2 linked regions of the Arabidopsis thaliana genome follow. The protein of the gene in region 1 purifies or fractionates together with the protein of each later gene. This does not show direct contact. Each region holds a gene or a part of one and is shown on either strand. Other genes may lie near its edges.

The links. Proteins that work in one complex are often made in the same cells at the same time.
Region 2: the proteins of AT5G06360 (region 1) and AT1G80750 fractionate together in Arabidopsis thaliana (co-fractionation; one large-scale study listed by BioGRID). This does not show direct contact.

The regions. Positions count from the first base shown.
Region 1 is NC_003076.8:1,942,499-1,947,480, forward strand, and holds AT5G06360 (Ribosomal protein S8e family protein), read left to right. Parts: upstream 1-2,255; 5' UTR 2,256-2,336; coding exon 2,337-2,339; intron 2,340-2,465; coding exon 2,466-2,585; intron 2,586-2,667; coding exon 2,668-2,735; intron 2,736-2,877; coding exon 2,878-2,986; intron 2,987-3,078; coding exon 3,079-3,147; intron 3,148-3,237; coding exon 3,238-3,295; intron 3,296-3,495; coding exon 3,496-3,731; intron 3,732-3,813; coding exon 3,814-3,865; intron 3,866-3,946; coding exon 3,947-4,014; 3' UTR 4,015-4,286; downstream 4,287-4,982. Other genes in the region: AT5G06350 (ARM repeat superfamily protein), read left to right, coding at 1-86, 187-318, 429-563, 722-873, 975-1,115, 1,205-1,522, 1,604-1,699; AT5G06370 (NC domain-containing protein-like protein), read right to left, coding at 4,801-4,982.
Region 2 is NC_003070.9:30,346,577-30,351,379, reverse strand, and holds AT1G80750 (Ribosomal protein L30/L7 family protein), read right to left. Parts: upstream 2,711-4,803; 5' UTR 2,499-2,710; intron 2,349-2,498; 5' UTR 2,329-2,348; coding exon 2,143-2,328; intron 1,792-2,142; coding exon 1,694-1,791; intron 1,597-1,693; coding exon 1,459-1,596; intron 1,355-1,458; coding exon 1,252-1,354; intron 1,165-1,251; coding exon 946-1,164; 3' UTR 816-945; downstream 1-815. Other genes in the region: NIP6;1 (NOD26-like intrinsic protein 6;1), read left to right, coding at 135-329, 407-468, 548-740; AT1G80745 (Transcription factor TFIIIC, tau55-related protein), read right to left, coding at 3,059-3,180, 3,306-3,357, 3,454-3,504, 3,583-3,666; CMT1 (chromomethylase 1), read right to left, coding at 4,549-4,702.

The sequences.
Region 1 (4,982 bases):
CGACCTTGGGCGAGTTGGGTGTCTGAATGCTTCCCCCACCTGTGAAGATGACATCAGAAACTTCTTCAGCCTTTGTCAGGGAGAAGGTGCAATTCTTGCTGCAAAACAAAAAACGTGTTATTAGATTCTTAGTGTCACTACACTGAAATAGGGCTTCTTGGTTTCTTCATCGTTTAAATTGTACAGGTGATGTACCTGGTGGACCTTTTGCAAGTCTCCCTCGGGAAGCCCAAGAACTGGCTCTCTGTTTCCTTTACTACTTCACCACAGACAAATTCAGCTCCCCTATGATGAAAGCAATAGTTTCATGCTGTTTATGTGAGTATCACTTTTTATTTCCTGATGCTTTTATTCAACATTAAAAGTGGCTTCTGTTTATAATAAAATGCAAGAAAAGGGTAATTGACCTGACTCAACGTAAATTGCAGATCCACAACTTGAACCAGCTGTGTTGTATCGGATAGTGGAAATTCTTCACACTGCCTATAGAGCTGGATATATCCAGATTACAGATCATTTTAGCTTCCTTATCACCTTAATTGCACGTTTCAAAGTTGTCCCAGGTATCTGCAAGATTTTTTTTTTCTCTTTTGAGCTTAAGAAAAAACTTTTGAACTTTTTATTACATTTTTGTAATTTGTTTTGGTGTGAGCTTATTTGAGAGATAATCATACTTTTTATGTTTTGTGATAGCTTACCTTGTGGCTTTATGTGCATGCAGAGAAACTGCAGTCATCGATAGAGTGTAATGAACGGGAGACATATTGTGGCACATTTAAAGAAGTTACAAAGCTTGTGTGCTCATGTTTGTCAGAAATGGGTGATAGTTCTCTTGTCCTTCAGATTGTAGAGAAAGTTTTACTCGAACAAATAGTAAGTTTGTCTTTTGATAATGCTTATATCTAAATGGATAATAACATTCTCATTTAATAGCACTGCATATACTTAAGGAGATTTTGTTCTTCTTGGTGTAGGTTTTGAAGCCTGCGTTGGATAATGGGTGTGCCATACTCAGGATGATCTGCGTGTTGGACTCTACCCCTACCACACTTTCTGAAAGGAGTGTAACCACTCTAAGTGAGTTCTTACCGGGATATATGATCAACATAGTCAATGTAAGCATTTCCCCTTTAAAAACTTTGCAGGGTCCTAAATGTTTCATTATAATCTTGGGATTGACACATCTCTTACGCTCTTCTTGCAGTGTATACCAGAGGATAAGGAGAACTCTTACCTTTACATACAAACATGTCTCTACTATTTAGTACCTTGCTATTTCTTGTTCAATCGGAGCTCCAAACTCACAGAACAGGTTCTGATAAGAATGCGATCAATGATTAGTGAAAACACAAAAGCGCTAGAATCGGTACAAGACAGGGAGAGCGGTCGAAACTCATTGAATATGATACAATGCATTATCTCTGTGATCCTGCTGATGCACAACGACGTCAAAGTTAGGAAGATAATATCGTCATTCAAGCCCGAGATCGATTTGATTCTTCAGAACGTTATCACGTTGCAGGTATCATTTTCTCCAATCTCTTATCATTATTGCAAACTGCATAACACATGTGCTGATAAGTTTTACCTCTTAAATGTGTAGTCCTCACGAAGCACGAGCTTGACTGTAGAAGGAAAGCATATGATGAAAATTGCGGGAGAGCGACTTAGGATTGCGTCCAAAAGCTTACTCGCGTAATTAAGTTCTACAACTGTAACATAAAATGATTTGTGCTCTCTTTATAAAGGATGCAAAAGATACGACTTAGCTTGGTTGTTTGAGAAAGCACCAATTTTGATGACAATTTTGTAGAATTTTGGTTTAGAGTTTAATTGAAGTGAAAAAGACATATATCTTCAAAACTGTGATACGCTTCTTCACATGAAAAAGGTTTTCTACATTAACCAAGCATCCATAACGCTTGGTTCCAGAAGCCAACCTTCTTTTAAACTGCAACGAGAAGATTTGAACTACGACTTTCCTAACCAGTAAATCTTAAAACCACTGCACCACCATGGGTTGGCTAAATGTTCAACATATGATTCATTTCGCCACCAAACAACTCTGGTTTATTGGATTTTGCAGTAAACTACATAGTTACTAATCCAAGAGTCAAAGTTCTCGAAAAAGTCATCATTTATTCTACCATCTGAAGTGATGGGCTTTTAAGAATGATTTAGCCCATTAATATTGACAAGAAAGCCCATTATATTAGTAAGACCCAAATATTCGACCCGTTTATAAAACCCTAGCTCGCAGGCTCTGAGTATCTCTCTCCGTCCAATTTCCGTCTCTCTCTCTTTTTATCTCACCGTCTGATCGCTTAGAAGCAACCATGGTACGTTCTCCGCCGCCGGAGTACCTTTTTTTTCTTCTTACAGCTTTCGTTTCTCAGATATAACAGCTTGAGCGTTTTGATCTCTAACAATTTCTGTGGTTTCTTCTATTGGTGGATGAAAAACAGCCTCAGGGAGATTACATAGATTTGCACAGGAAGAGGAATGGATATCGCCTCGACCACTTCGAGAGAAAGCGCAAGAAGGAGGCGCGTGAAGTTCACAAGCACTCCACCATGGCTCAAAAGGTTCTTACTTTCTTCTCCTTCGTCTTCTTCCATTTTTAGCTTCCTTTTACTGATTCTTCTTCTGCTTTTGCTCTAATTGCAGTCTCTAGGTATCAAGGGTAAGATGATTGCTAAGAAAAACTATGCTGAGAAAGCTCTCATGAAGAAAACGTAAGTGTTTCGTCGTATTCTCTGAGAATCTATCATTAAGTGAAAGATGTTAAGTAGTATAATTGATTGGATATTCCTAAGTTAATAGGTGTGGTTTTATGAGAATCTTACATTGGTTTGATTTTTATTTTTGTCATAACAGATTGAAAATGCATGAAGAGTCATCATCAAGGCGTAAGGCTGATGAGAATGTTCAGGAAGGAGCTGTTCCTGCTTATCTTCTTGATCGTGAAGACACCACTCGTGCCAAGGTTTGTTTGTTTTTTCTTTTCAAGTTGAGATATCTATAATTCTGTAACTTGGTGACGGCATTACATTAACAAGTGTGTGTTTTTGGGTGTAGGTTCTTAGCAACACCATTAAACAAAAGAGGAAAGAGAAAGCTGGCAAATGGGAGGTCCCTCTTCCAAAGGTGAAATCTCTCTCTCTGCTTTTGTATTCCTTCAGTGTTTGAACTCTAACAAATGGGCAAAGCTTAAATTCAAGCCCTGTCCTTTTACAGGTCCGTCCAGTTGCTGAAGATGAAATGTTTAGAGTGATCCGATCTGGAAAAAGGAAAAGTATGTATTTACTTTCTAATCCAGATATAGCTACTTGTTTGTTTTGTTATCACTCTATGTCTTTGTTTAAACACTTATCATCATATAGAGCTATTGATTAAGGAAATGACTCTAGACTAGATTGAGTTTGCTTTGTGGATTGGTTTTATTAGTGTTGAATAGGTTCTTACAAATACTGAAAATGCTTTCCCTTATTACAGCTAAACAATGGAAGCGGATGGTTACAAAAGCTACATTTGTTGGACCTGCTTTCACAAGGAAGCCTCCAAAGTACGAGCGTTTCATCCGTCCATCTGGTCTTCGTTTCACCAAGGCCCACGTCACTCACCCTGAACTAAAATGCACTTTCTGTCTCGAGATCATCGGGATTAAGAAGAATCCTAACGGTCCCATGTATACATCACTCGGTGTGATGACCAGGGGAACAATCATCGAGGTTAGTCCCCAAGATCTTTACGTATTAAGTTGTCATTTATGCTAAAGTTGCAAATAACTCAATATGCGAATGGATTTTTCAGGTCAATGTGAGTGAGCTTGGTCTTGTTACACCAGCTGGAAAGGTTGTCTGGGGTAAGTGACAATATACACAACCTTAGTGCAAACTATAATTTTGATTTCAGAGTCTTAACTCTCTCTTCAATTTGACTTCAGGAAAATACGCTCAAGTGACAAACAATCCAGAGAACGACGGATGTATAAATGCTGTTTTACTTGTGTAACCAAATGTCCGGCACTGTCGTAGAAGTATGGATAGAGACGAGAGGAAGGCGAGAATCATGTTGGCTAGTTTTATTTTGTTTTCTCCTGAAACAATTTTGTGTTATTTCAAGTTTTTTTATGAATGTGTGGTTGGTCTTCTCTTCACATTAACTAGCTGCTATGTTAGCTTTATAAGTATCCCACATTATGAAATTTGTTGCTTCTAATGTTCATTTTGAGCCTCTTTACCGTTACTATCGGAGCTAGTATGCCTTAAGAACCCATGGGAGCAAAAGTGAGATAAATCTGAAGGTAAACATATAAAATCGAACCACAAGGCAAGTCAAACCAAACTTCAATTACCGAGAATATGAACTAGACCAATCCAAAAGTACGTAGAAGATTGAGGAACTTGCAGCTAAATGTAGAGCAAAGAAAAAGACAGATAAGGCTAAAGTCGAAGCTGAAGTAGAGAATCGCTTGCAACAATTACGAATCTGATCAAAAGTGTTGTCGTTTTTATGACTAAATAAGGATACTCTTGTATTGTATCAACAACAATTTTTAGTTTTGTAAAAAGATTTGGGATTTTTCAGAAACCATATATATTTTGTAGCCTCTGGATTTTTCTTTCTTCTATGATTTAGTAACTGGTACCCTTTTTTACCTATTATTGTACATAATTATATAAGTTTGAATCACACCGAGATCAATTGTGCAAGGAGTGTTCTTATTAGAACATTTATAGAAGCTAAGGGACAAATAGAAAATACAACAGTGGGATAAGCTGGTGAAGCTTAAGCTTATCAACTCGTGCTTGGTAAAGCTATGGCTGCCAATGGAGGATCAAGTACTTGGAAAAGTCCTGAAGACAGCCTTCTTGTGAGGTCCTCTGCTTCAACTTTCGCGACGTCAGCTCTCATTCCGATATCAGTAGCGTATCTACTCGCACAATACACACCAATCGCTGTAGCAGCCATCCCATACA
Region 2 (4,803 bases), on another chromosome or scaffold:
CATGCACATGCATGTTGTATTATGAATTGAATTTTAACATGGGTAATAAAAGTATATATAAAATCTGATCATATAAAAGGGGTTCTATATAATTGTTATAAAAATAATAATGTTGGTGTCTAAATTTATGTTAGGTGCCGGTGTATATCGGAGCTCAGGTGATGGCCTCCGTGAGTGCGGCGTTTGCACTGAAAGCAGTGTTTGAACCAACGATGAGCGGTGGCGTGACGGTGCCGACGGTGGGTCTCAGCCAAGCTTTCGCCTTGGAATTCATTATCAGCTTCAACCTCATGTTCGTTGTCACAGCCGTAGCCACCGACACGAGAGCTGTAAATTACTTATAAAAAACGTTTTTGAAGAGTCTTGAAATTTTGGACGTCAATGAAAACTAATCACAAGATTACAGGTGGGAGAGTTGGCGGGAATTGCCGTAGGAGCAACGGTCATGCTTAACATACTTATAGCTGGGTAAATAAACCATCATTTCTTGAATTCAGTTCTTGTACATAATAATACATGTTACTGATCATGATGTTGTGTCCAACAGACCTGCAACTTCTGCTTCGATGAACCCTGTAAGAACACTGGGTCCAGCCATTGCAGCAAACAATTACAGAGCTATTTGGGTTTACCTCACTGCCCCCATTCTTGGAGCGTTAATCGGAGCAGGTACATACACAATTGTCAAGTTGCCAGAGGAAGATGAAGCACCCAAAGAGAGGAGGAGCTTCAGAAGATGAAAAACACTCGCTTCTATATTACTCTGTTTACATCACATAAATATATGTGTATAATATAATATCTGAAGTCGACGATGCTTATAAAATTTGGAATGCCCTTTAACCAAAATTGCAAGTGTTTCATCAAAATGGTTGGTTTTTAGCCTCGTACAGATCTTTTAAGGAAAATATAGTAAGTAGCTAGCGATTACAACGATTGCTGCTTCTAATTCATTTTGCTGATGAGATCATTGATCTTATCTTCGCGGTTTCCGGTATCTCCTCCTTCGCTGAAAACTTGTTTCTTCCGGTGCAAAACATCAGCCACAGGCTTGTTGAGTTTCAAGGGTCCCAAGAATCTCATAACTTCTCTGAAATGATCTCCGACTCTTGCTATCTCATTCACAAGGTCTTCTATGCCCAAGATTTTGTGTTCTCCTAGAGCCTAAGGTAACAAAAGTGGAAACGATTAAGAACAGCATGGTTATTATCTGGAATAAGCTCCTATACTTTTAAGAGTAGGAAATTTTACCTGTTCGATTATATTGTTGTCGGTAAGAGGAACAGGATTTCCCTCAATGATTGTGCATCCCTTTTTGTATATAAGGTCCTTAACACTCTTATCATTCGGGTATCTTCAAGAATCGTAAACATCGGTTAGCTCATACGAGAATAGAGAAACAGCATGGAAATCGAGTAACAAGGAAATATTGAAAGAGGATTGATTGTCTCTACGTACCCATAAGTGACATAAGGCTGCACTTTGAGAAGCTTTTGGAACAAACTGTCAGTTGCTTTAGCAAATACACCAGTAAAGACGCTCTTTAGTTGCAAATTGTTAAGAATCCTCTTGGTCTTTGGGTGCATATCATTCTTGCTGGTCACCAGAAAGAAAAGGCAAGGATAAGAAACAGGCAGAGATAAAGATTAAAACTCCAGGGGGAAAACAAAGCTAATTGGAGAATATCAAATACCCTTGAATGCGTATGATGAAAACCAGGTCAGATTTAACTGGTGGAGGAGATGACTTTGGCCTCTTTACTCTTTGCTTCATCCGGATCATATCTACTTCCTTAAGTAGGGATAAAATTAGCAAAAAGGGAACAGTTAAATTACAGAGAACAATGCAGGATTGACAGAAGAAACAACAAGTCCTAAGCACAACCTTGCAAAACTAGGGAGAAATCTCAAAGGAGAAACACAAAATTATCTGTAGAAAAGTTACAGTCTAAGAGATAAGTGACAAAACCTAATCATAAAGGTTGATGTATAGCTTTAATTTAACTCAAAGAATAAGCAAAAACAAGTTCTTCTAAGGTGTAGACAAAAGTCAAGAAGCAAAAATCAGAACTTGAGGCAGTAAAACGAATGGAAAAAGACAAAGCAAAAGTTTTTCAGAGAATCTGGAAAAAAAGAAGTGTACCTTAGCCCTGAACTCATGAACAAAATCTTCAGGACGTTTGATATCAGAGACTTTCTTCTTCTTCTTGCCGGAATTACCCAACTCAAGTTGCTTCTTCCTGATAAAGGCAAGCTCATCTCTGTTCTTCCTCTTCTTCAGTACTATCTCCGGTATGTAATCCAAACCCTTAGCTTCTTCCTCAGCCATTATCTCTCTACTCTTTGCTTCTACAACACAAAACAGATTGTCAGATTGAATTTTTTTGCGAAAAAAGTTTATAAACAGAGACTGAACTCAACCCTATAAGAAAGTGAGGCTATAGGGACACCAACAGAATGAACAAGATAAGAAGAACGGAAAAGGGGGAACAAATTTACCGGTGGCGGCAAAGCAATTGGGACGGCGGCTGAAAGAATTCCAAGTCGAAGTTGGTAGCAATGGCCGATTTGAGAAGCCTAGGGTTTATTAACTAAAATCTCTTTTGTGTTATTAACAACTTTGCCACCAGACCTAATTACGCTCCGGGCCAGACTCATAATACTATTGGGCTAAAAAAGCCCAATATTTATGGGCTTATGTAAGGCCTTACTGCCTTTGAATATACCTAGTTTTATTTTATAATATCTTGTGTGATTTTGTTTCTTTTAATTACATGGGATGCATAATTTCTCCATCACTGGTTGATTCAATTCAGTTTTTATTTTATTGACATCATCAGAAGGACAAATCATGAAAACGTACGTTGAAGTTGTGAATCGTTTAGTTACCTTTTGGTTTGGTCTTAGTTTGATTGCTACTTTCAAGAGGCCAACAAAGGAAGATGCTGCATGTGCCTTAGCTACATATATAATCTGTCGGTTATTGTTATAGTTCTTTTTTTTAATATGATCTTTGAAGAAAAGTCAGGTTTCCAATGACTTGAACAAGAGAAAAACTTTTACAAATTGGTTGTTTTTGTTACTCCATCTTCGTTGTCTAATGGTGCTAACCTAAACTTGAGAATCTTGTGGAGTTTGGCAACAGGTTCAACTGTCTTCTTCTGTGGCGTCTGGTTATCACCTTGTGCAAACAGACAAATGAAGAAACCGCAACCCCAAATCAGCATCTTGAAGGGACAGAATAATTACTTGAAACAATAACATGTGTTTCCATGTTTGATAATAAAGAGGAAAAGTGAAACTAACCTTTGTCAGAGAAAGCAAGGCATGTACCAATCGTTGCTATATATTCTCCTACCTGAGAGATCATCAAATCTAACACGATTAAGAATGGTTTAAGCAAAAAGAGTAACTGAACTTGGAAAATTGTACTAGTTGCAAGTAAGAGAATTACCAGCTTCATTTTGCCATCTATGGTCAACACCGGATTCAAAGTATCCAAACCCTATGAGAACCAAACAAAACCAAACTTATAAAACAAGAGAATGCAAAAAGTGAAATGAAAGAATTGGATTGAACTAACTGATAAAGTATAAGGAGCATCTGCTGGAATGTCAATGTGCCTTGAAACGTCATCAAGATCAATCATAACATGTTCATCCTCCATCTCTGTATCAATGTGTTTATTAGGGTGGAGAAGAACACAAAGATATTTATGAATCCTAAAACTTTCTCACTTTCTGAACGCGATTAGATCCAAGAAATTATCATTCTTACATCTCCTAAACAACAAATTTATGTTGAGAATGGTTCACCTCTTTCTTTTTTTCCTTTCAATCTTTCGAGCAAATTCGAAACCCTTCTTTAAGTGAGGGAATCGAAGAACAAGCCTGATGAAGAGGAAGAAACAAAAAAAAAAAAAAAGTAGATCAATTGGTTTCTCTGCTTCTTCTATGTGAAAAATTTGCTCTGTTATGAGATATCAAATTTGGGCCGAATATTATAACGTAAAAGCCCAACCGAAGGAGTGGGGACATTATTTGGGTGAACCAAATCTTTCACCATTATATGGGCTTGTGGGCCTAACTGCCTTCGAATTTACTTAGCTTTTGCGAATGAATGAATAACACTAATAAAAGCTGGTAAGTGGTGATCATTGACCAGAGTTTCGGTCGGTCGGTGGCAACTGAATTACGCAAAATCGAACCAATGTTCGTCGAGAGATCACGGACGTACCTAGCACCTCGGATGCTCAATAACAGGTTTTGTCTGTCTTTTGCTTGGTCTTAATTCTTGTTGGATGGCATCACGTAGGATTGAAGTCTACGCAATAGAATTTGAAATCTTGAGATTAAAAATCATAAGAAATAAAATGGTTCCAAATGATTATAAAGTCAAAGATAAACCAACAAGAAAGAGCTAGACAGTTTAAGCCGCCATTGTTTGAGCATATAGCTCTTGCTAACCCAAAAAATTAAAAGAAAGTCTAGAAAATGAAGTATGATTCCTAAAGATAGTTTCATCATGACGACTTGATGGAGACTGTCAATCAGATTTGATCCTTTGCCTGCATGCATTCGGGATACTTGAATGGCAGCTTGATTACTGGTTCATCATCCGTCAGTCCTTGACTCGCCATACCAAAGGCATATCCTAATGCAACCCCTACAGGAACTGCCACAGCATTCCCAACCTGGATGTACCTACAAAATTTAGATTCAAACCCAGTTTTTACATACATTAGGATCTCCAGTTTAAAAACAATCATATACATAGATAGAAAAGCAGCAAGAACCAAGGACTT